2 linked regions of the Drosophila melanogaster genome follow. Changing the gene in region 1 together with any one later gene gives a genetic interaction. Each region holds a gene or a part of one and is shown in the gene's direction. Other genes may lie near its edges. The genes, in order: nudE and dar1.

The links.
Region 2: of nudE (region 1) and dar1, changing one suppresses a phenotype caused by changing the other (phenotypic suppression), as found in Drosophila melanogaster (one study listed by BioGRID).

What each region holds. Positions count from the first base shown.
Region 1 is NT_037436.4:9,892,835-9,905,930, forward strand, and holds nudE (nudE), read left to right. Parts: upstream 1-6,406; 5' UTR 6,407-6,521; exon of another isoform or gene 6,522-6,553; intron 6,554-6,891; 5' UTR 6,892-7,170; coding exon 7,171-7,250; intron 7,251-7,318; coding exon 7,319-7,472; intron 7,473-7,588; coding exon 7,589-7,862; intron 7,863-7,926; coding exon 7,927-8,184; coding exon of another isoform or gene 8,185-8,270; exon of another isoform or gene 8,271-8,363; intron 8,364-8,508; coding exon 8,509-8,600; intron 8,601-8,726; coding exon 8,727-9,002; 3' UTR 9,003-9,078; downstream 9,079-13,096. Other genes in the region: CG6709 (uncharacterized protein), read right to left, coding at 486-630, 684-820, 875-946; Hez (hezron), read right to left, coding at 1,158-1,448, 1,510-1,698, 1,756-1,836; CG6707 (uncharacterized protein), read right to left, coding at 2,926-3,042, 3,124-3,288, 3,345-3,554, 3,620-3,801, 5,095-5,221; CG46387 (uncharacterized protein), read left to right, coding at 5,897-6,334. UniProt on the Drosophila melanogaster protein: Chaperone protein with functions in nuclear localization. Required for centrosome duplication and formation and function of the mitotic spindle.
Region 2 is NT_037436.4:3,621,597-3,634,586, forward strand, and holds the start of dar1 (dendritic arbor reduction 1), read left to right. Parts: upstream 1-4,755; 5' UTR 4,756-5,485; coding exon 5,486-5,548; intron 5,549-12,990. UniProt on the Drosophila melanogaster protein: Transcriptional regulator which promotes dendrite growth by suppressing, either directly or indirectly, the expression of the microtubule-severing protein spas.

The sequences.
Region 1 (13,096 bases):
ATGAATAAGCATGTATTTTTGTAACATCGTTAGCTCCGAGCAGTCCACATATTTGCCCAGGTGCTAGAAATAAGTCCAGCCAAACTCTGTTACCCAAACAAACGTTGTTATTATTATCAGGAAAGTAACGCGAAGCGAACAAGCCAACCAACTCATCGAATATTTATAAGCTTAAGCAGAATTTCAGAATATCAGTCAATTTATTGAATCACATCAAAAAATGTAATACGCATATATTTTGTATTTAGTTTTCAGATCAGTAATCTCAAAACATACCTTAATTAGGCACCCTCTATGTCAAAATAAGTGTTTAACTAACTGAAATTAACCAATCGGGTTTAGAGGCTCTTTTTGTTGGATGCTTTTATATTTTACTATAATTTTTGTGAATTAATCAAAGTTACTCTTGTATGCAATTGTTACTATTAATAATTTGTTGTCCGACTTTTTGTATGCATATAAATAAAATGCAGTGATGATTCAATCTACTTGACGACTATAACTACATCAGCACCATTCGGGACGCCAGCATCGATCATTATTTGCTTCATTTCATCTATAGCCAGATTGTTATCGGATGCCAAGTTATTTAGGACCTCGAGAAAGTCTTCGTACTCCAAACGCCATTTCCTGAAACATGTATTTGATTAAGAATGATATGTAGATTTGATGTAGTTACTCACTTGTATCGCATGTATATTAAACCGGTCTGAGTTCGAGTTATGGGATTGGGCATGAGCTTGGCCTGCTCTAGCCAGGCGTCCAACTGCGAGAGGAGTATGCTGTCAAAGTACTCGTTCTCGATGTCGGTGGGTATGACCTGGCATCATTTAGATGAAAATTACTCTTCAATTAACCGGGTCATTCATCATACCTGGAAGTTGGAATACACCAAGAACAGGCTGTCCAGCGTGTGCTTCTTTGGTTTATCTTCATCATCGGCCATCGTGTATTATGTGTGTTGGGTGTTGTGGTGTAGTGTATTAAATCGAATTTGTACAAACGAGAATGGTTTCCCCTGGCAGATAAAGAGCAGTATTCTGTGTGGGTGTCATGGCTATATGTATGTGTATTTTGAATTGTTTTGTTGATAAACAAAACGTACAGAGAATCGGATGCTATCTAGACAACTGTTGCCATGGGCACGGGCCATCGTTCTAGAATTGTTTACTGCAAAAGTTTTGAACGACCTCTTGGACGCATATCGCCAGCTTGGGATTCCAATCGAGGTATCGGATATTCTCCGTGGCATACGGCGCATCGATGACCACCTGACGGAGTATATTGATCGCCACTTGGTCGCCTTTGTTCTGCCAGATGATAGCGGGATCACCGAATCGCTTGACTAACAGTCTGAACAGAGCTTGACCAAAGGGCGAGGCATTGGGATGATAGCTCCGGCAGGAGAGCGTACGATGTTCGGTTGCGTATCGGTATCGTTCTCGGATCTGCAATTGCAAATGGTTGAATGGGGTTTCTTTTAAATATCTATATAGAGAGTGCTTCTACCATGGGCAAATCAATCGGTTCTGGCTGTTGAACTTCAGCCGGCGGAATTGCTTCCTTTACTATTTCAATGTCCATGCACAGGGATAGGTTCACAATGGTCACATTGCAAGTGGTCTGTTCGTCGCCACCGCCATTGCTTGATGGACACTTCATTATCAGCATTTTCACGCCCAGATCGAAGGCCACAACCTGGGAAATTGAAAGCATTACATAATCATAAAAATAATAAATAATATTTAGTTTTACCTCGCCCGAAATGTTGTCGCCAAAACAAGTCTTGCAGCGCACAATAGAGCCCACAGTAAAGCAAGGAGCCAATGATGACATCTTGGCCAAGGAACTTAAAAACTTTAAAAATGTAATCGAAATCGAAAATCCCAGCCGATGTCCGATGTCAAGTTCAAGGCACTCTATTCTACTTTCATAGCCTTGTCATTTTGTCGCCAAAAAGTTGGTGGTGCTTGTGGTTTTATTTCTTTTTATTTACAGTGTATGTATGCTAATTTATAATGTACTAAATATAAATGTTGTTGTATATATATATATATATTTCAAAAGTAAACCGTTCCTTTTAATCATATATATATATGCAATTTCGCAGTTTAGCAGTTGCTGTCTAAATTAATTTTCTTTATATCTGCATGAGCGTTTGCTTGTTCTCTGTTGTTCAAGAAATGTTGCTTTGTTTATTTGCATTATAATTATGTATTTATGGTATTGTATATGCGCGTATGTGTATGTACCTTCATTAGCACTATTAGCATACCCTTCAAATTGTTTCTAACGCCAGGCAACAAAACGCTTTCCTCCGCTTTGGCGAGAACTGAGAAAAAGTGCATTGGTTAAATTTTAGGCAACACAAAACTCAAAAGCGTATCAACGAATACGTAATGTATGAATACCGAAATATCTTGCAGGACAGGCACGAACGGATAACAAATCGGACACTTAAACAACGAAACTGTACAATCTTTAAAATGGATCCTGACGATTCTAAAAATGAGATGCACTGTGGATTGATCGGTCGCTGGTCTAATAACTAATGACTGCCAACACAGATCGGGGTTTTCCTTTTTTACTTTTAGCACTTGAATGGTAGCTGCACGGCGACCCTTGAAATATTCGCTTTTAGTATAGTGTTTAGTTAGTTACGGCCTTAATATCCTAATTATGCTCTTCAACGGGGAGACCTTCTTTCGTAAATTTAGCTAGGTTTGCTATTAGTTTTGCTCGAAACGAAGAATTTTTGTATGTAGCTGAACTGCTGGAGAAATGTTCATATGTTCCGTCTGCAAATTGGCTGCTTGTGTTTAGTTTTAAATTTAATATCAAAAGGAATGATATATATGAATAATATATATATATAAAAATAAAACAATGCACTTTCTTCCTTGCTACTGGCCCCGTGCTTTAGCTTTACATTGGCCCATCGATGGCGCTCACTTTAAGGCGGAAATAGTAGGCGGACCTGGCCAGCATGCAACCCGAAATCACGAACAGCGCCACGTAGAGGAAGTACATGCCACCATGATCCTGGAAAAATGCAAAAGGAAACACACATATGGGTTTAGAAAATCACATACTTCAGCTTGATTTTAAATTGATTTGGCTTACCGAAGCAATCGAGTATGTGCCGATAGTTACAGCGATGCCTGTGATGAGGAACACCAGCGCCACGATGGCGAACATCACGGCGCGGCTGTTGGCAAAGCGCGAGCCCACCGATGAGACCTTCCTGCAGTGTGGACACCGGGCCAAGGCGTTGTGATACGTGTTGAACTGTAAGAGCAAGCGTTACAAGACTCCTGCTGCTGTGATTTGGATTAATAACTCACCAAAAACGTGTCCGAACAGTGGCCACAAGTGACGCGGCACATGCCCGGCATGGTTGGCACGGGCGGGGTGACGGGACTTGGGGCCAGGTTGATGATCCTCTTGCAATTGGGCCTTGGACAAGCGATTCGCTGCGACGAGCTCTTGCAGATTAACAAACAGTTGCATGGGCAGCGAACATACTTCTTGCCCGCTGGAGCGTTCCGAATGGGCTGTTGATAGCCAAAAGCGTATTAAGTTACAATTGGATTCAAAGAATCTGCTTAGAATTACTCACAGTAGCCTCATTGCAGTGGGTGCACTTGACCACGTGCTGCTCCCGCTTCGTGGTGATGTCAATCATGTGTTGACATACCCGACAGGTGACCATCGGGACGCCTCCGGTGTTGGTACTCTGCTGATACGGCGGCGGCAGCTCATCGGGTCCAATGCAAGGCACTGCGGTCGGTGCTCCATTGCCTAAAATTCCATTGCAAAGTATTATTAACTACTTATAATATTGTTAAGACCCATGCCCTTCAAAGGCGAGACCTTTGGTGTAGAATAAATACATCTCGCCAGCAGAGTTCGCTCAACCACACTGCTCATCTGGCGGTGATTGGCTCATGGAGGGAGTGAGAACTGCATTTTCTGATAGTGTGCAGTGTGTGGCTCTGGGAAGCTGCGATAAACCAAATGGGTCAATGTTTTGGCGTTATGAATGCAGCTTTCTCGTACAAGCATTAAACTAGTGCAACTAGACCGCAGTTGTGGTTCTCGTCTCTCGATCAAAACAAGTTCGAACTTTGTGAAAGACGTTTTTAAATGAAAACAACGCAAAGAGTAACATCGCACACACTCTTTAGGAAAATTGATATGAAGTGGATAAATTGCAAATAAAGTCATATTACTTTGGCTAAATAAATATATAATGTCAAAAAGAAAGGAATACAGAAAGATAACCTATGCAAATTAATTGGGAACATGGAAAGTCGTAAAGCCCTTGTAACTAAACTCTTGTATATATTAATGATATGGACAAGCTTTTTCCGAGCTGAAGATCAGGTTCCTTGGTAAACAATGGAACCACTGCTCATCGCAGACCCTCATTTTCGCCCTGTATTGCGATAAGGCAGCGAATGACATGATGACTCATGGACTCATTGACTGCCCCCGCTTAACCACCACTATAGCAACACCTCCGAATCGATGCTGATTAAACAGCTGTGGGGAACGCTTTTTGCGCTGATTACGAGCGTCCTAGCATAAACAATAACAAAGGCGGTGCAAAAATTTTGCCGATACCGGCGTCGAGTAACTAACTACAATCGATCTTTACATTTTTGGCAGCTCTTCACAATTTCGTGATAAAATTACATTTTTTTTATGGTGTACGTGGCCCATTTGATATTTAGGCCAATAAGAAAATTTTATATTAGGTTGTAAATTTTTGGTAATACCAATAATACTGGGCCCTATTAAAAAATAAAAAAATGGCAGATAATTTAAAATGGCATTTGGGCACCACATATCCTATCAGTTTTTCTTTCTGTGCAGTCCCATTGCTCTCCCCCCGCACCAAACCACACGCATTTATGACTCAGTTGGGTGAAGTGTGAAAATGCCAAATGAGACGGCGAGCAGACAACTCGGAATCACGGCGTTGGATCCGGATAAGTGGAGCGCCCGCACACTTGTTGGGCTTCCAATGGGTTGCCCGCCCGGCTGATTGGATGCGGGTTGAATGCCCGGCTTTACAGTAACGATACGCACCGTCCTCGTTTGTGGCCACCGATGAGTTGCTGCCGGGATTATCGGCACCCTCGTCCACGGCGTCCACGGAATTGTAGCCATTGCCGTCGTCCTTGTTGATCAGGCTTTGTCGCTCTGGATCCGCCATTGTGGACTATCTTCCGATAAATGGATATTTATATGTGTGGACTATAATCTCTATATGCTGGAGCAATTCCCGTTAGGCTGCACTTCCAGTTGCCTTTGTTTTGTTGTTGCTGTTGCTGCGGGGGCTGCTGCAACGCGTTGATTTCAACTGGAAAATGAGTGGGAAATCCAATAGTTTAGTTGCTGTGCCACATAATTTCGGACGCAACGAGCTCTTTGTTCACGATTGCCGCAGTAGTTTGGTTTTTTTTTTCTTCGTTCGTCGCGGTTTTCACTCGCGTTGATTGAAACACATCCTCCCTTTTTTCACTTTTCGGCATGCGCCGCAATTAATCAATTCGATGATGCTGCATGTGCAACGCCCACGCGAGCTCGATTGTCGCACTCACACAGTTGACATTTGGTTATAATACTGGCAATTGCGTTAATTGTTTAACAATTGCTGGCCATAATTGTGCTATATTTTACCTTATTTTTGTTGAAAATGCACTGCAGTCGCTGCGATCTGGCCACACTCTGGCTAGCTATCTGGCAACGATGTCCCGTTTGAGATTTTTCAGTTGCGGCCCTGCCAGGGAGTTGCCACATCGTTGTACTTGGTAAAGAACCAGAAACAGATCAGCGAAAAATTGTTCATTTTTGGAACCAAAACAATCCAGCGCGGCTTAAAACAAATATGTCTAAAATCACGAAAAACTCCAATAAAATTGACAATAAGGATTCTGTAAGCGGGGAAGGCTCAAATAGTGGGGACGATAACACGTCCACAAGTTCAAGTGACTTTGAAACAAGCAGAAAACACAAACTACGCCGCAAATCCTGTCGAAATGTATCATATCATTATCATGCGCTGCCCATGCGCGTAGTTGGCGAAAATGTTGCAGCACTGCCACAAACTCCCAGCTCCACTCGTGATTTAACACTAAGCTCAGCTCAAATAATTGAAGATAGTTCCGACTCTGAGTTTCATATTTCGGACGATACCAGCAACGATGCGCCGGCCAACAAATCGATAACGTTCACAGCACGTCCATTAGAGAAATATGATTTGGAATATATAAGAAAACTACGTAAACGCAAAAAAAAGCCGAGTAAAACTTTATATGTTGATTAAATTTCAAATAACAACTGTTGACCAGGGCTGGAAACGGCAAATGCCCATCTATTGGCCAACACTGGCAACCCAAGCCAGGGTTGGCTTGTGCGTTTTTGGAGTAGTGGTAAATTTTTACGAGCATAACTATTTACACTGATTTTATGTAAATAAAACAAACAAAACGTAGCAAAATTAAGTGCAAAGTGTAAGTAGTAAATGTGGACAGTCGTGCTGTATAAAATTCTAGGTATAAACACTGGAATTCTACGAAAAAATCACCGATGATTTCATTTCCATGCAGTGCGTTGTTGTATGGGAAACTTCGTCGTAGCTATTTGTTGTTGTTGTTGTTGCTGCTGCTCATCACCATCATCCTCGTTGTTTTCGTTGTTGTTGCCGCAGCAGCTGCGTCACAAAAATGAGTTTTGTTTAATTTGATTTTATTTACATTTGATATGGACAAAACCGACTGCCCTTTTAGGGCATCGAACAAGAACAACAGCAACAGTAACTACAAAATTCAGGGCAAACACCTGTTCCTAATTGATTTTTCACTTTTCTTCGCCGACTTCTAGTCTATTCACCACCCCCAACACACAAAACAAAAAAAAAGTAAAACTACGACTTGAACAACAACTGTGTTTTGGCATTTTAATCACAGCAATTAAAAACAAAGCAGCCAAAAAACACGAATAAATAACCCAAACAGTAATAGACCAACCGTAGTACATAGCATTGTTCAGAAATTAAAAGTTAAATCAATTCGAACGAACGAAATTACAAACCCATTTTGACCGCCGATTAGTACACAAAAACCAGAAAAAGGAGTTAGCAGCTAAGGAAAATTTGCAGAAATGGAGTCGCCCCCGATGTTCAATAGTGTGGAAGATGAGTGCAGATATTGGAAGGAACGATCTAAGCAGTACCACAAAGAGTAAGTGCCCATCCCTATTACAGTCTCCGAAATCAGCCATATAGCCTAGTTTTACTTTTAATTTTCAGGTGGACAGACGTGAAACAGGAGTACGACGAGTTTGTGGAGCAGTCCCGCGAAATGGAAATAGAAATGGACGCCACTCTGGACCAGAAGCAGAGTATAATCAAAGATCTCACAGCCAAACTCACAATGTTTGAGCGGGAAAACGAGTCTCTCAAGGTAGCTATAAGCTAAGCCCGATTTACACAAACTGAGCTTAATTCTTAGACTCAGTTTGCGTATATGTGGCTTTGAGCTCCCGACAAGATTAGTCTTTACAACTATTTCATTCTCAGCTCAAGTTGGAATCGCATGGCATCGATATGTCAAACATGGAGAAACAGCTGGAAACGGTGAAGAAGGATCGCGACACCATGAAGGTGTACCTGCGGCAGCTGGAGCAGAAAAACGACGATTTGGAACGTGCCCATCGCATACTTAACGAAAGCATAGAGAATTTCGAGAAGATGCTGGATCAGGCCTACGAGAAGAACGCCCTTCTGGAGCTGGAAGTGGATGAAAAGGGATTGCTGCAGGAAAAACTACAGCGATTAATGGATGAGACGAGAGGTGGATGCATCTATACCAGATGTCCAGCACAGACTTTAAAACTAATTCATCAAATCTATTGCAGATCTCAAACAAGAGCTGAACGTCAAGTCACGCTTTACCCCAGTGGTCAATGGAACGAGCGTTCCCACGGCAAACGACACAAATACGGTCAACAGCTCGATGAACTCGTCCGCCTCGCTGCCAAATGGTATTGTTGCCAATGGCGAATTGGTAAAACACGACAATGCTGTCGCCACAAGAGCCACCAGCGTCAGCGTCAACGCCCTCAATGGCAGTTTAGTTAATAGAAACGAATATAACCAGCAGCATTCGCTTAAGAGTAAGATACTAAGTTCCCTAAAGAAAACCAGACGCGCGCTAAAACTGTCCAAGACGAATCGCCAAACGTTCAAGCCATGCATTTAGTATTGTTTTTCCATTTGTTTCTTTTTTACTTGTTAACCAAAAAATGTAGCCCGCTTAAGTTCCTCATAATTTGTAATTGTATTGTAAATTATTAAAATTAAGAGCCCAAATGTGACGAAAGAGTTTGCAACATTTCTTGTAGGCGATTTTTGTACGATTTGTGTTTGCGTCTGTAGCTAGTAGTTGACCTAACTAACCTCTCGACTAACATGCTGTGTACGTGTGCTTCCTCTTGCAGATCCCGAGAATCAAATCAATGGCAATTCCATGAACCCCAGCTCCCGCACAACGGCGCTCAACATTGTGGCCGACATGTTAAGAAAACTAAACGTAAGTCCCTCCGCAAACTATAAGTCCAGCATGCCATCCTACCTCATCCATTGTTTCGTATGTACATATGATCCTTGAACCCTTCACTCCCACCATCGGCTTATGTGTTTTTCCCTATGTTTTTAGTGGGACAAGGCACTGCTATGTCCCGAGTGCGAAAAGTTTCGCTGCATGTGTGAGCGCCCGGCAAGTGTGCAGCCGCCGCCGCCGCCATCGGCCAGCGAGGCAAGTCTTTTTCGCCGCGCCTTTGGCGGCAGCAGCAGCTCAGTGGCCACCAGTAGCGCCCAGTCCACGCCCACCAGCGATTGCAGCTCCGCCGGAAGCCTCAGTGCGGGCTCAAACATTTTTAGGCGCTTCGCCGAGCGCATGCGAAACTCGCCGGACGCCAGCCTGCCGCTCTGACAATGCGCTCGGAACTTTAAGGCTAATTTTAGTTGCCCTCCGCTTGCATTTATTAATTGCATTGGTTAATAAATACAAAATTTATTTGTACCTTATTTTATGTTCTTTGTTTTTGTTCGTTATGATTTATTCAGTTTCGAAAGCGCATAATAACTTGGCTTGCTGACTAAACTCTGCACTGGGCAAACCGTTGCGAAATGAAATTTTCATTAATTTATTTATTATATGATGTGCCCAAATCCTTCTATAGTTAATTTTTCATATAGTTCACTGACTGTTGCTTAATCCGCTCTCGTTTTGTGTTTTTTTTTTAGGCGATGGAGACGAAACTGAAGACGTACCGCGAGAATGGTCAGCCAATGCCGCAGCGACACCGCTCCTCCCAGCAATCCACACATCCGGCGCTGGCCGGACTGCCTTGCTTCTCGCTGGATGCCGAGTAGTGTGGATTCTGCAGTTCAGCGTGATCCACAAACCCCAAATCCGAAACCCAATCACCTAGGGCGGGATACTGTTCAGTTGGCTTTACGTTTACGTTACGTTACTTTAATGTTACTGTTCGCATTAATTAAGTTTCTGCTGCCTCTTTATTTATTTGAACTAAAATGACTTTGTATAAACCACTTGCGATATTATGAATTACACAACAGTTGATGTTGTTGTTTCGAGCCCAACATATATAACATGCCTTAGTACGAATTAAGTGTATACCTAAGCTATAAGTACCCACTCGGTTCACTTTTGACTTGAATTGTTAACTCGAACGCAATTGTTTTGGCATACAATGTGTTTAGCGACTAAGTTCAAAGTTGATCAACCAGCAAAACAAGCGAAGAAGCTCTGTCCAAGTATTATACTTCAAGCGGACAACCAATACTCGTAGCGTTTAGGAAAAAGACAAGATCTAACCCGGGAAAAAAAATTATTAAAATTATCGAAACGATCATCTAGTTATATTGTAACTATCCCCAGAGCTATTTTCTGTTTATATTTACCAGCGAATATAAATTTGTAAAAATGCAAAATATTGCTAACGGCAAACTGTATAAAGCATAACAAAACTCCAACGAACAGGCAAACAAAATATATATATATATGTATGAATAAAGAGCAAAATAATTAGTTTAATAGAAACCATCCACAAGCACATCAATGTCGATGCCGTGTGTGTTGCAACTAATTAGTTTTAAATAATATTTGAGTTCATTACACAAGTTGAATGCTGCGTCAATTCCTATGCCAAGGCCGAATTTTCATATCGAGAGCTTTTCGCAGGGGAAACTTTCCCCGTTTTAGACCCATTTCATTGCGGATTTTCCCGGAGCTTTAGCCCCAACCAAAAGGATGCTGAGCTCACTGAGTTTGTGGATGGAGTCGGCTGGTGGACGCACAGTGCTCCATGGTGGGCAAAGTAAACTGGATCTGATGCCGACCTTGCTGGCGAGAAGGTCCCGTTGGCGGTAAGCTAATGAAAGTACTTTGGTTTTTATAAGTAAGCACCGGGTGGGTTAGCGTCGTCGAGTGCTTGGCATTAAGCGAGCCATGCTAGCTGGTTGGCTGGAGAACTAACTCCTTTCCAGATGCCAAATCCGCCACAGCAAATGCAGCGAGGGAAAAGTGAAGTGAAAAATGAAAATATGACACAAGCTTTTATCATACGCATAGCACTTACCAGGGCAAAAAGGGATGGACTTTCCTGGACCTGCCTGGTGTTGCTGTTGCTCTTGTTTGCTGCTGAGTGCATTGTTTGCTCCCGTGGGCGGTATGGGCGGTCTAGGTGGTTGTCCAGGGGGCGTGGCAGTGGCCATAAGCGGATTGGGAATGGCACAATGCAATTGCCGTTTGAAATAAAAGTGAGCAGACACAAAGCCAGTCCTGCATGAGTGCACCGAAAAACAATTCGGATGCATCGGTTTATTCGATTTAGTTATGCAACTATTTATTTATTTATTTACTATCAATAAATGTGGGAAAATTCCTGTTTTGGATAAAATAATAGAATAAAAGATAAATTGGTACTTAAAAGTACCATTTTAAGTTCTAAGCATAATGTTTTATATTTTTTTTTTCTAAATAAAGTTATTGAATAATATTGAATTAAGAAGAATTTTGATATTTTTCTAAAAGTGAGTTGCTGACGATAAAGCTGGGAACTGAAGGTTATTCCCTTCCTTGGTCGCCCCTTTTTTTTTCAAAAGTAATTTGAAGAATCTGCCTCGTTTTTTTGCGCCGAGCCTGTCGCCTGATGAAGTCCCGCGGGAGGGACGATCCCGGGCAGCTAATTAACTGGCCGCGAATACCATTTGCCCAGGAGCACAAAGGCCAACAATCAGAACCTGGCCAACAGTTCCAATAAGCGGGTCAAGCGCAACTGCGAGCGAACCCGATTTACCCTCTGCAAAGCAAACAAACTCAATTGTTTCGGCATAAAAAACGAGCAAACAGCTCGTAAAAAACTGTATCAAAACACTGGCTTAAAGCGAAAGCTTTCGAAATGCCTCGAAAAAACAGGGTGTAAGGTCTTTTGGCCAAATTATCGAAGTCATTAAACGGAATGGCTTAAAGACTTCAAGCATAACTGAGTGTAGAATTTAAGTCGGTAACTGACAGAAGAGTGGTTATTAAACACGTTTTAAGAGCTATTGGTCGTAATTTAATTACAAAGAACATTTAGTTGAGTGGTTTACCCATTAAAAGGTAGTTTTTCTAATCTGACGCTTTGGGAAATATTATTTATATATTTTTAATTCAGTTCAGTTGCAACTTAGGACTTTAAAGCTTTGATATTCTGATTAAGTACATTTATATCCTTGGACCTAAAAATATTAAAAGGATTTTCATGTTTACTATATATACAGTAACCTTTAACCTTTAAAGTAAATAATTAAATATGCTTGAGCGAGAAATATACTTTCGCTCTTTAACGATGCGATTTGCATTTTTCCTGTATACATTAATTTACCAAAAAACAATCAAACAGGAAACCGAAAATTCAAATTCCTACTGTATCATTATCTACTAATTCCGTTTCGCATGAAATTTTTGGCTACCAACGAATTCCACTTCCGGCGGCACCCTCTAAAAATTTGGCGATGGTGGCCCAAAGGTTTACGGCATTTATGGTCTTTAAATATTTAAAATACGCGACGCGTCGCCGTAATGTAGGCACGGAAACGAGTACACAAACGGAAATAATGATGAGGTGTGTATGCCTTTGTTTTTGCTGCTTTCTGGATGCCCGAGGGTCCTGAAAGCCAGGACTATCCACTTCGCATATCCGTATATTCGTGGCGCCCAGCTTGAACATCAAACAAAATCGATATGTGGGCGGTGTGTATGATTTTTGGCATAAACAAGCAACAAGCAGGGCACACAGGACACAACACACACACACATACATACACTTTAGCTGGCCGGGGGGCCGTTTACAGGTTTGGTCCTTGCTTTGTTTGAGCGCCGCAGGACGCTCATTTTTCGTAATGAGTTCGTCTATGGGCGGAGAGGATGGGCTAACACCAAAACTGGTCTGGCTGCAACAGGACCAACTGAATCTGTTGACCCAAAACTCGGCATATCCCTGAAAAGTATTTCCCTCTTTTTTTTTGGGTAAAAAATGGTTGGGCGACATCACTTGGGGAAAGGATATTTGTTCACTGGCCAGCTGCAGCTTACAAAGGGCTTGATCTGCCAAAAAATGCGGTGTTCAATTGCTATTTTTTGACTTCAAAGAGTCAAGTAATATTACATTTTCTGCATTGTTATTAATTATTATTTGAAACTTTTTGTAGTTCTCTATAAACAAGATTGTACAATAGTTAAGATAGTTAGTTAAGTTTAATAGTTAAGTTTTCTGATGTATTTTATTTAGGAAACCTAACAATAAACAAAGTGCTTGTCACTTCATTTCACAACTTTTTAAAAAAGCCTAGTTTATTTTTATGCGATTTTCATCTCACTCATTTGTTGATTTCCTAGGTGTATAAATTATACTTTATTTAATCTGCGATGACTGCGTAAAAGCTTTTTGCCCCGGCAAGCGAATCAAAAGTCCTGGATCTATTGGTGAGGGTATAAAAAACGCAACAGTTCGCCTT
Region 2 (12,990 bases), 6.3 Mb from region 1:
CATAATGTCTGAAGTCTGGCCTATGTCTGCAATGTCTGACGTGTGCTGGTGGGTTTCTGGGCTTGGCCAGATTATGGTTACTTTTATGATTTAATTTCACACGAATTTATATTATTTCGGTGCAATTGTTTTGTGCGTCGTCGCATTTATGGTGTATCAGTGGTTTATGGTCTATGGCTTTTGGCTTTTGGCCAAGGCCAAGGAGAGATTTCACAATCCGAAAGCCAAAAACCGAGGGACTTGTTAGCCCAATTAATAATTATTATTGGCCGGAGTTAGAGAAGATGATGAAGTCTTTGGTGTGGGAGGCCTTGGCTTTCTCTGCGCCTGCCCACAGCCGAGATTTAATTAATTGCCGCGTAAAATTAATTTCATTTCAATTGTGCAGTCGCATCATTAGCAGTTCGCACCCCCTCCCGAAAATAGTTGGGACCCCGAAACCTGCTGAGTAAGCAATGATATCGTTTGTAAGTTTTGTAAGTTACCCCCATACCATCGACATCTCCGATCCCCAGCTACTCTCAAGGGCCATATCGTTTCTACTTCGCTTCGAGTGGGCTTGAAAGGTGATTAACGCGATCATAGAAATGATGTCGGAGGAGTACCGCACTGGGGGCTCATCTTTCCAACACCTGAAGTGGTACAGGGAAACGGGAATTTAATGAAGCACTCCACTGGGAGAAAATATCACCCGAAATGCTAATCACTTAATTCAATTTAACATCAGCTTATTGAAATGAAAGTCCTTCAGAACTTTTGTGACTAAAGGCTGTATAAGCAAATATGAAGTAGTATATTAACAGATAAAACACTACGACAATTGAAAGCGAGCGAACCAATAGGTAATATACTCTCCAAATAATGGACGTTATTACTAACAATAACAATAAAAATGCTTCGAGACCTATAATGTCAATTTTATTAGGCAGCAAAGGATGAATCTTTAAGATAGTACGGGGAGGTTATTAGGATATAAACGATAAAAGAGAATAAAATTTGTGACAAGCATTGTTCATTTGTTTATTTTCGATAATATAATAATATAATGAATCTTTTTCTTTACAGGTTTAAAATGATTTCCGATTGATATAGTTTTTTCTCGCTGTGTCGTAGATCGTTAGATGCTTAGATCATGACTCTTTCTTTCTGCGCTTGCGCACGCGCTAAATGTCAAAAAAGTGCCCATGAAGCTCGGGAAGAATCAGCCGCCTGCTGTTCGCCGCCGCAGCTCCGCTTTCCGCCATGCCACGCCCCCCGCCCTCACCTGAAAGTGACACGCCCTCAGGCGGGCCGCCCACTTGGAACATGTCGAATCATTCATTCAACGCAACGAAATGTGGGCTGCGAGGTGTTGAAAGGCGAGAGGCGAAAACCGAAATACAAAATCCGAAATCTAAAAGGCATTTTGTGTGCATTTGTAATTTGTGGAGCTGCACACAGCATTGCGCTGTCATTATTTTCTGTAACATTTAGCAAAATCATTAATAATTGTTGCCGCCGCTGCAGCGACACAGATACGCACTTAAAAATTGTCAGACAACAGTGACTATGCCTTGGTGTTAACTTGATTAGCATTCGTATAAATTCGCATTCGCAGTTGCATCTTGGCCGCATTTGCATAGAATGCACATTTCGGGGACCCAATTATTCGGGGTAACTAAAAGTCTTCTGATCTTGATCGCCTGAGCTGTTAGATGGAATTCGAGGTGGCCCCAATTCCAATTCCCCTGGCTGAGATTTCAATTACCCTCGCATATTATGCAAACAAATAAATTCGAGCGATAAGGTTAAGCCGAAGAAATTATGAAAATATTTCCCAGAAAATGCGCAGACAAAACAAATTGCCGCGTAATCTCTGGGACCCTTGCTCTTGGAAGAAATAACAACTCCAGGTTGACAATGCACGGCCCGAATAAATCGAAATCATTTGGGAACTTGTCCTTCTTTATCGGCAAGTGCCGCCAAGTGGAATCAATCAAGCGGAGAACCATTTCCTTGGAGGCTCTCAGATCGTGTTTTTCATATTATTTCGATTCCGATTTCGAAGCGTGACAATATTTTGGCCACAATTCAAACGAACTGATCTCGAGGGTCTTCGGTGGGCAATTAATCATGTCGAGCTGGCCGATAAGTTCTGCTCGGTCGAGTGCAGTGAATTTCTGGGGGGAGAGTCCTCGAATCTCCAGTCTCATAACAGGTAGTACCCATCGACATCGATCTTTGTGTGAGGTAAGAGCTGAAACAGGGGCTTCCATAAATCCCGCAGATATCGCTGGCGGGAAAATCAATTACTCTACAAGGATGTGCGCCTCCAATTTGAATATTTATGGTTAACTGATCGGATCTCGACATAAAAGCGCCAAAATTGATACATTACAGGCTTTTTTTTTACGGGGATTTCGGTAAAAACGTGAGTAAAGAGGATATAAATATGTCATTTATAAAGAGAAGTAAATAGAGTTTAAAATGATTACAGAAGGATCTAAGGATGGTATATACTCATAGACAAGTCATTATTAAACAAAATTTAGTTTTTTGTGCATAAAAATCGAAAAAATTGTCCAAATTTGGAAAGTTATACCTCGTTGTGCTCAGATCTTTATCCTTTACAAACACAAAACAACTGCCATTAAAATGTGTAAAAAAAATTTTTTTGACCATTTTCGAAAATTTTGATGATGGTACCCCTTACAAAAAAGTCGAAAAATGGGTAAATTTTTTTTTTTTCAAAAACTCTTAAAAAGTGATTTGGGTTTTCTTCTTAGGTTGTCGGGTGTAAAAAACAGTGCTTCTTATAGCGATGTGTCTTATTTTGACTTAGTTATAACATAATAACTGAAAAACACGCATTTTCGTTGTACCCTTCAATTAATAATTTAATTTACAGTGCCATAGATATTCTAAAGCCCCTTAATCATAATATGCATATTTAAATCCCCAGAGCGCGCATATCTTCGTACTCAACCGCTTCATTCTAGGCCAAAAGCGTTATAAATTGGCTGGCATTTGTCAACCGGCGAACGGAGTCAAGTACGGGCTTGGAAATGTGTCTTTGGCATATCTCACGGATGCCAAACGTAAGACAAGCAGCTCGAGAGCAAACAAAAGCGCGAAGACAAACAAATTCGAATGTATCTGAGTATCTCGGCTTGTATCTGCAGACGTCTGCGGTGGCATTAATGGCAAATTTGCACGAAGTCAATAGCGAAAGCCGGGGAATACTACAGTCAATTATCGGTGGCGTCGAATATGGACGAATGTATCTGCGAGTGTAGATACTTTCGTATCTGACCATGTATGTTGATGTTTTTGTTTTTCCACCTGCGTGTAGCGTTGTTGTTGTTTTTTCCACTTACTGCCACCGTGTACGCAAAAGTGTCTCGCTCTCTCTTTCTAACCGCATGCCCCGTCCCGCTCACTCGTTGTATCTTGTATCTCGTGTTTCTCGCTCTTTTTGTCGACCGCCGATTGGCTGACTTTTGAGTCTGCGCCGCTATCCGGAGAGGCCACACCTCTAAAAACCCCCTTAGAAAACCACGTTTGCGTGTTATTTCAGATACTTTTGGCCCCCCTGCACCAACCATTTTACCCCCCCGCGCGCGGAAAACATAAACTTGTGGCTCCCTAATGGCCAAAAATAAGGAAACCAGGGGGATGAGTCGAAATGAAAATGGCTTTTATGTGTGGCGTGCGTTGGGGTAATTTTATGATTCAGGGAATTACACAGGGAAATGACAGTCCTCGTTCTTCTTTTGCTTTCCACCTGGAATATGTAGATACAGATACCTTTTAATTGTCGCTCTATTGATTTCCCCCAAAGAAAGCACATAAGCTGACTTAATTTATGCTTTAATTCTATTTAATTATGTTTTTTTTTTACCATCTAAAACTGCATGAGGTCTATGAAAGATTCGCGTGTTAGCTGGACAGTTTTTATTTTGTTTAGGCTCTATCTAAAATGTGTCAAACTTAATGAACGGTGTAGTAAAGCGGTTTTAATGGGGGAGGTTCTGTTCGGGGATTATGCTTTGTATGTTTTTGATTTATTACTCCTTAAAGGCTACCAATTTTATACCTTAAGTTATAAAACTTATAAAAAAAGAACGAGGTCCTTAAAAAACACTCTGTCGTATAAAAGTTCTTTACGGAAATCAATTAAATCAAATCGAAGCCATATATGTAGATTTTATTTATATAAACATTTAATTGTAAAGTTTTGTAAATTTAAATGATATTCTAATTGATCGGATTATAATAAAATTATTACTCTAAAATTAATAATTTTTATTTATTTGTTACTGAATACTCCATAAGGGACTTATAAACTTTAATTTCTAACCTCCTTGCCCTATTTCGAGATCTTTTCTGAAGCGTGGTTACTTACTTTTTCACCCATTACCACCTCTACCGCAGGTCAAATCTAAAATGGCGAATCCCAGGCGGTTCATTCAATTAAAATCGATCGCAGCTCTTATACTCCAGTGTCTCCAATAAGATCAGCTGGCTGGAACACACCTGAGAGTCGGATATAAGAGCGACAGATCACCTGGGCCGAAAGTGGCGGAGAGCGGACCAGGTGAGCGGAACACCTGGTGAGCAGAGTATCCGACAGATACAGATACGAAAGGTGAGCGAGAGCGGCACAGAGCGGGCAGTGGAGGGTTAAGCGGCGGGGGTTAAGCGGCAGCTAGCTGACTGGCTTTCTGACTTTCGAGGCTCGTCTGCGCGAAACCCGCGCTCGTCCAATCAGTACGAACTCGGTTCCCGCCAGCGCAGTAACAACTTCGCCGACGAGCGCGTGAATCGCCTAAATATCCACTCAAGCAACACAGAAAATAAGTTATAAATTGAAACCCGCAAGTGCCTTACCATTATCTGTAGAATATTGCAACGAATTTACTGCCCATATATACAGCATATCGAGAGGAACAAGAGATACAGATACAAATAAGATACAAGCCGAAGCTCATCATCGAATGCGGAAGTGAGCGAAAGCCGCCGGCTTTTATTAATTTTGTGCAATTAACGCAAAGGATACAAAAAATCAGTGTGCAAACAAAGGGAAACAAAAGAGTGAGAGAAAGTGATCGAGTGCCTTCATTTGCATATCCTTGCAAATTAAATTAATTTAACAACAAATAACAAAAAGCAATTGAATAATAAGAAAACGTGCCGCAATGTCTGTTGCTCGCAGTGCCATGTCAAGCTGAAGTATTCAATAATAATCCCGAAATTCGATTCCGAATACGATTTTGAATTCGCATCCGAAATTGATTAATCACTGTGCCTTGAACTGATCGTGACTCGTGAGTCAGAGCAGCGCCATTTAATTGTCCGCAAACACAAAAGTACGGAGCCCAGTTGCAAATTGTCGGGTTAAATATTGGTAGAATATCGGTAGAATCGGTGGCATCCCCTCCCCCGCCAGGCATTCCACCTGGCCAACAGTCGAGTGAAGGAGCTTCATGCGAAAAACGCCGCTTAAATGCATACGGATATCATAATTGGTGATCAGTTTGCCGCCAACAATAACTACTGGGTGATGCAGGTGAGTTCGGTTACTAGAATATTTAATTAAAGGCTACTTAAGACATTCTGGAAATTCCAGCGAAAAGATCTAGAAAACTTGATCTTTTGTAATAAATAAAATCCAAATAGCAGATAGATATTTTCTATCAAATAAAAGGCAGTGTCGAAATTTCAAATATCAATCACTTAAATAAAATTCCCTAGCTTGATCAACATTCAAATGGAAATATATCCAACTATTATAGAAAGAATATGTGTGTCTTTAAACAAGGATGAACACATCACAAAGCGTTTAAATATCGTAATCATTAGCCAATTAATTTGCAATCACAGGTTCCTTGTCAAACCCAATTCAAATGAAACAAAAAAAACTTTACGTACCAAAGTGCGCTAATTAAGCCGCTTTTATTGCAAATTAATTTTAGCCAAATTTGACAACAATAAGCGAGCACACAACAAATACGAGAGCTTACAAATCACATGAAAAACACCTTAAGCCCAACAACTTCCGCTTATCAAAATGCAAATCTTGAACAGACCAGATTTTTGACGATTTTTGTACGAATTCGAGTACGAGTATAAATAAAACGCACGCGGCAATCACAAATTACAATAAAACCGAAAACAAATTAGCTCAATTATCGATTGAGATGAGGAGTTGGACTGCGTAATTTTTGAGTGTTCTCGAGTGTGTTTCGACAGAGATTAACACCTTGGATTTCCTCAGGTGTTCCTTCGGTTCCTTCGCCGTTTTTTCCCCATTTTTGTTTTTTTTTGTTTGTCAAATGCGACAATCGATTTGTAAATCTTGTTATCACCTGCAGGAACTCTCGGCTCTTAAAGCCGTTCTCAAATACACGGTCGGTTAACTCTTTTGAACTCATCCACACTTTTCACGCGTTCCGCAGGGAAACTGTGGCGATCACAGTCCATCCGATGCGATCCGATCCGCACTCCTCCTTTCGATATCCATGTTTGCAGCCTGTTTTTCTGTTTTCCCGGCTTGTTTGCCTCAATTGTTTGACTCGCGCTTACTTGCGAAGCTCTGGGTAAATATTTGCCCCCAACACTTTGCCAATGTGCCAAGTGTCCCCAACTGACTGACGAGATGGTTTCAACACGGTTCCTACCCGGGAATATATACATATAGCTATAGCCTGATCATCGACTGGGTGGCATTGATCGATGGTATTGGATAGTATGAGAACATAATTACAAACGGCAAGGGTACATACGTATGAGTAATATGTCTTTCCGAGGAACTGTTTATCCTGTTTATTGCTGAATGTCAATAAATACTTTAGAGTGAAACTGATCGCACAGATTGTGGTTATTAAAGTTATCGAGTATAGGTTAAGTTTTTAGGCCATACTCATTTACCATGAATTAATTTTTCAAAGTATACGTACTTTTTTATTACCAATAATCTTGAGCCTTGATTATCTTTCTTATAAATTTTATGATGTGTAGGCTATCTTCCTAAATTTTCCTATCATTCCCTGTCTTATTGCCTTATCTCAACATTTTACAACCGTTGGTCTACCAGCCTTACGCCCATTGATAAGTTCAGTTTCCCGCAGAAAGTCTAGCCTTGCTCAACAAAAGCTCTGTGTTAAGTGCCTCCAGCTGCCCTCCTCAGAACACTTCCTTCCCCCAGAGATAAGGATCGAACTCCGGGAACCTCAGCGAAACAGATATACATACATAGGTACAGACGAAGAAACCCGAGACATTGGCGATTCCGGGTAAAAAGGCATCGTAAAAGAGCTGGGTGTTCGACAAGTGTGTTGTGCTTGTTCCGCCTGTCACCATCAATAGCTGCACTAATTAGGCATGTGTTGTCAAATATTTACACACAGTCGCAAAAGTACAAAGCGCTGTTGGCCCCCTTTGGCCCCCTGGAAGCCCCATCCACTTCCTCCAGATAGTGTAAGCTTTTGGGTGAGGGGGTGGACTTCTTCCGTTTTCCACTGATTTAACAGATATGATGAGATATGGTAAGGTAATTCCCACGACTCACGGCGATTATGACGAAAAACTTTCGTATTTTATGGCTCTAAACGAAATTAGTTTACGATCGCTTACAGGGAATTAGCTGCACTGAGTATAGAAGTATCCAAGTATCCGAGTATCTGCGTATCGAATACATTCAGTGAATAATGGAAGTAATCCAGCACGTAGCCAGGCGGTTATAGCGCCGACTTTTGCGGCTCTGATTAATGACCCTGAACCATTGTGCTTCAATCGTAAATAATTAAATATAGATAAAAATCAGATAACTCTAAGTTTGAGCTTTTGAAAAAAAAAAGGGGGGGGGGGGGTGTTTAAACTAAACGGGCCGAAGAATTATGCAAATTATTTAAGACTAAACGAAACTTGCAGTCGCTCCAGTGATTTGTCAATAAAAGACATTTACAAATATACCAAATGAAACGTATATGAGTTTATAGCCTATCTGAATCAATAGGAAATATTTGCATTTGCGAATCGGAATCAGACAAAGGCGGCCGCCTTCAAAGAATCAAAATCGGTGCTGAAATTTAACAAGAATTACGGCAATTGCCTTGCCGTCTGCTCATCTGAGCCATAAAAAATCGTGGCAAATTAGATAGAAAACAGCCGAATAATGGCCCGATAAGATAATGATATCCCTAGTAGACTTTCCATTTCGAAATGAGTTCAAGATTGGATCGAGCCCCCGAACAAAACACCGATTGCCAATTACACACCGTCCAGACAATGGCAGTTAAATAATAACTGGAGTAAGCCATGAAAACAGTTGGCCAAAATCTCATTAAGGCCCAGTGGGAGATCGCCCATCAATCGATCGATTCCTATGCAAATCTCGCCAGTAATTTCTGTTTCCACCATAACAATGCCAAGTTTTTAGTGTCTAGTCTTTGCCATATTTTGATTTCGCCAATTCATGCAAATGAAAACGAAAACTAGCACACAAATGCGCCAAAAATGGCACAAAAAAGTCGGGAAAAAAATATCATTCATTTGCAGCCAGTTTTGATTGATTTGCCGCCTGGCCAAGTTGGAGGTCAATCGTGCCGCGAGAATCAATCACTCACAAGCCACTGGGTGCACATAGAATTTGCGGTTTTCTGGATAGCCTATTATTGAGAATTAAGGAATTATAGTTGAAAGAAGAACTGTATTATCCTTTAGCAGTATTAAGCCACCATCTTTAATTTCTTCGCATACCCCTTGTGCTGAGCTTTAAAAACCAATGTCTGAAATCATAATATCGACTATCCATCAATTTGGATTTTTTAAAAGCTTTTCAATAGAATCCTCACTATTGATTTAACCCAATCCAAGCTCTTGTTCCCTTCTTTCTTACCCAATGTTTATGGCACGTGAGTGAGCATTTATTGACCAAAGGCAACCCTTTTGACCGGCTAATTTCAACATTTTTTTTCGACTCAGAAAAAGTATCACCTTAAATCTTTGATAGATTGCCGGGCCTAAGGCCCAAAAAAAAAAGGAGAAACATGTTTGACTTCGGCGAATTATTGCGAAAACTAGTTTGCCCAAAAATAAGAAAAAAGGCTTTTATGCTCACAGAGGTGCTAAAACCCCCACAACATTGAAGCGCAATTCGTTTCAGGTTTGATGGGATCAAAAGCTCAGCGGATGACAGCGAATGAAATGAAATAAATTTCATTTAAAGCTCCGATGCCGCATTAAGATCAATTATTTGATTATGAAACAAAATCTGCGTGAAATCTTCGAATAGTTGACCCAAGCCGATGTCAAATGCCGGCGCTGTAAATTTCAATTTCGCATCGAATTCATTTCCACAACAAGGTGAGAAAAAAAAAACACATTTGATCGGGGTGCGATGATAAAGCCATCATCGGATGGTCTCCATCGCTCGATCAGCTCGATCGGTCGTAAGGCCCCAACAAAGGTTCAAACAAACCAGTCCGACACGAAATCAAATTGCAAATTTAAATTGAAATCGAAATCACAGCACATTTCGTAAGGCACTATTGTATATAATCCGTGGACCGATGGGCGATATCCCATCCCAGCCGCATATGCGTCTAAAAACACTTCAATTCACGTTATGTGCTTACTTAACTTTTATCACCCGGCCGAGATTTCTATGATCGATCGCTAATTGCCAGAGTACAGAAAGGTACTCGAAATGGCTATAAGTCAAGAAGAAGCGCCAGGTACGAGTGGACAGCATTGAGATCTCTTCTGGGCAATTGACCCACTAATAGGGCCTGTCAATAATCGCCTTTTGGCCATTGAACTTTCGACTCTGGCCCCTACTACAAATTTCCTGAATAACACAAATTAATTGCCCGCAAATCCTGTGTCCGACCGATCAGCGTTTATTCAACAGTTTCATTTCAAATATTTATTGATTCCACACAATCTACATGTTGCGCATGCCAGTTGAGTTCGGCCACCAATGGGTTAAGAGCCCCTCGACATGGCTGAACGCTTTTCCAGCTCTGATCGGAAATTGGTTTTGTAGGCCCTGGGTTTCAGGGCACTTCCTGTGCTATGTTATTTGTAGTGTTCTGTTCATAGCTTCACTGGCCACCCCAATATATCCGAATATTATGATTGCCTAGCGTGAAATTGTGAGAATATTTCCAAAACGACGCGTCAGCGACATCAATTAATGTTTTATTATGCATTCCTGTTTGCCCCTCAAGGATATCCAGGGATATTCAATATCCCGGTGATATGTAATAGCTGTGCGAATGGTTTTATGCAAATGAGAGTGAGCGGGGGTGGAAAACTAGTATGTATAGTGGGGAAACTACATTTAGAAGACTCTAGGGAAGTGTCAAAATGTGGTGGAAAACTGCTGTTTTCCTTCCTTTGAAAGCAGAATAAACGTTGGTGTTTAACTGCCGTAAATGAAGAGATGACAAAACCTCTAAATTCTCTGTGGCAGAATTTTCACGTAAACAAATTCAATATCACATACAGACTCTATTAAATCCGCTTTCAAATAACGATCGCTAGAACCCACTAAACCAAATCGCTCTCAATAGCAAAATGGCGCGCTAGACAGGAACACTGAATAGTAAATAGTAAATAGCAAATAGCGACTACAATAACCATATAACCATATCAATATCAGTCAGTTTCGAGTGACTTGTCATTAGAATAAATAAACTTATATATAGGCAAAGGCAAATACGAATCACATTTAAAGTCAGCCAATAATGAAAATAGATACACACACCAGCGGCCAGCACAATCGACAGCTAATAGTCAACAACATCAGTCAGCCGGGCAGATATGTAAAGTAAAATAACTAAAAAAAAAAATAAATAAAATACTTAAGAGCCGGGGAAAAAAACTGTCGCAAATTGCGGTCATTCGTCATGCGCACATGAGCAGAACGACGTCAGCAACATCGACGGCACGGCAGCAACTGTGTGGCAAAACGCTCGGCAAATGGCGGCGAGCCAGTGCAGGGGTGGGCGGATTTTAATAGGGGGCCGCAGCCGTCTAAGAGGGGGGAGGGGGGGTGTACCGAAGCGGTACAGCAGCAACGTGCCACATATTAACATATATTTGCTCACTCTTCAATAAGCATATTTAAATGTTATGAAGTTTCTTTTGGGATTTTAATTTTTTTTTAAATTTTTATCAACTTACTACATAAAAATAATGTTTATACGAAAATTAATAATCCCCCTTTTCGCCGCCTCTGGCCCTTCTCTCCCAGCTCTAGCTGCTGTTTTTCTCTCCACCTAAGTTTTTGCTTTGTTTCAAGCTATGAAATGTGTTTTGATTTGCTGCGCTTGCGGGGCTTAGGCTATAGCTCTGCCGACTTTTGGTTGGACGCTTCCAGCGGGTGTTATCGAGCGGGGGGAGCGGGGCGGTGGGTGGCACTGGCAGTGGGGTGGGCAGGGGTTCAGTGGCGAGGTGGCCGTCTCAACATGGCGACGCTGACTTTTGCTGCTTAATGGTGCTTAACAGCCGTCGAGCGGAGCGGACTGAAAAGCTGAACAACTGAGCGAATGCGTGACACTGCGCATGTACCGCTCAACGGGAAGTATCTGTATCTGTACATAGTAGCTATATAAAATGGCTATCTGAGTGTGTATCGGTGAGTACCTAGGAAGACAATTGCGCTGAAACCGTTAGAACGAGGAAAACGCCATTTTGGCTAAGCCACAACGCTTAAAAGGAATTTAAACGCAATTAAATAAAAGACGCTTTTGAAAACGGTTTATAGCTACAATAACATTTATTTAAATGCCCACTAGTTTTAGGGCCAAATAATTTAAAATACAAAGGCACATCTAGTCATTTATTAGTAGGTGAGTCACTAGTCAGTCGTTAAATTCATCTTAAATGCTTTTAATTTTCAATATATCTGTAATTTGGATGAAATTGAGCATCGGTTATTTTATGAAATTTCGACTATGAAACTATTTATATTTTAGGTATTTCGCCAATTTTAATGCACATATATTTGCTTAGTGGATTTTTTGAAGAATTCAGCACCGTATCCATTCCCATATCAATTTCATTGAGCAATTTGTCGACCATTTTAAGTCCAAAAACAATTCGATACCAAACTCCAGCGGAGTATCTGTTCCCACCTTTCCCTGCCAGCCGAAGATCTTGGCCTATTGTTTGGTCTTCGACCGTTGTTATGATGGCTATTAACGCTATTATTATGAAAATTTTCAGCATCATTGATTTTTGTTACCGATTTTCTAATTTAACCAAATTATTGTTTATTCCCTCGTCGTCTGGCCGTTGATTTATTTCATTTTGCCTCTTGGACTTGTATCTATTTTGGGAGTTTTGTTTCAACTCTTTGTCCAAGTCTCTCCCACCTGCTCCCCCCTGAAGCCCCTTTGCCTAGGAACTTCTGCCGGCCATGTCCATTTGGGATTCGAGTTTTCTGTTAAATGGTTGCGTAAATATCGCTTGGCCTCAATGAAATGCCTTCACACACTCGCAGCCCGATAAACAGACTCATAGATACGAAGACTTTTTCCTCAATGAAATGCCGAAAATTAGCATAATCCGCGCCAGCCTTTCTCGCTGGGCTTACACTAGGCAACAAAATAATTTCTGATAATAGAAAAATATCTAAAAATACTACAGGATCTTGAATACTTTATATGTAATATATATATCTAATGTATATACGAAGTAAAGCTTATATCAACGGCAGAATAGTATATATAGTGGAAACTATGAAAACACTTAAAATTACTTCGAAAGACTTTCTTGTAGTACAGTGTTCTCTGTTAGGCGGCACACGCAGAGGGAAAATAAAAGCGAAACCTGTTCGCGTTTTAAACGAAAATCTTGTCGGACATGATGTTCCCCTCGGGTGGAGTGAATACGAAAGATTTCGAGTTGGGATGAGGGGCTCTCCATGGGCTGCTGCGGTTATTTGTTTGTTGGTGTCAAAGCTGTCACATATTTTATGCGACGGAGTCGGGGGTTCAAGGG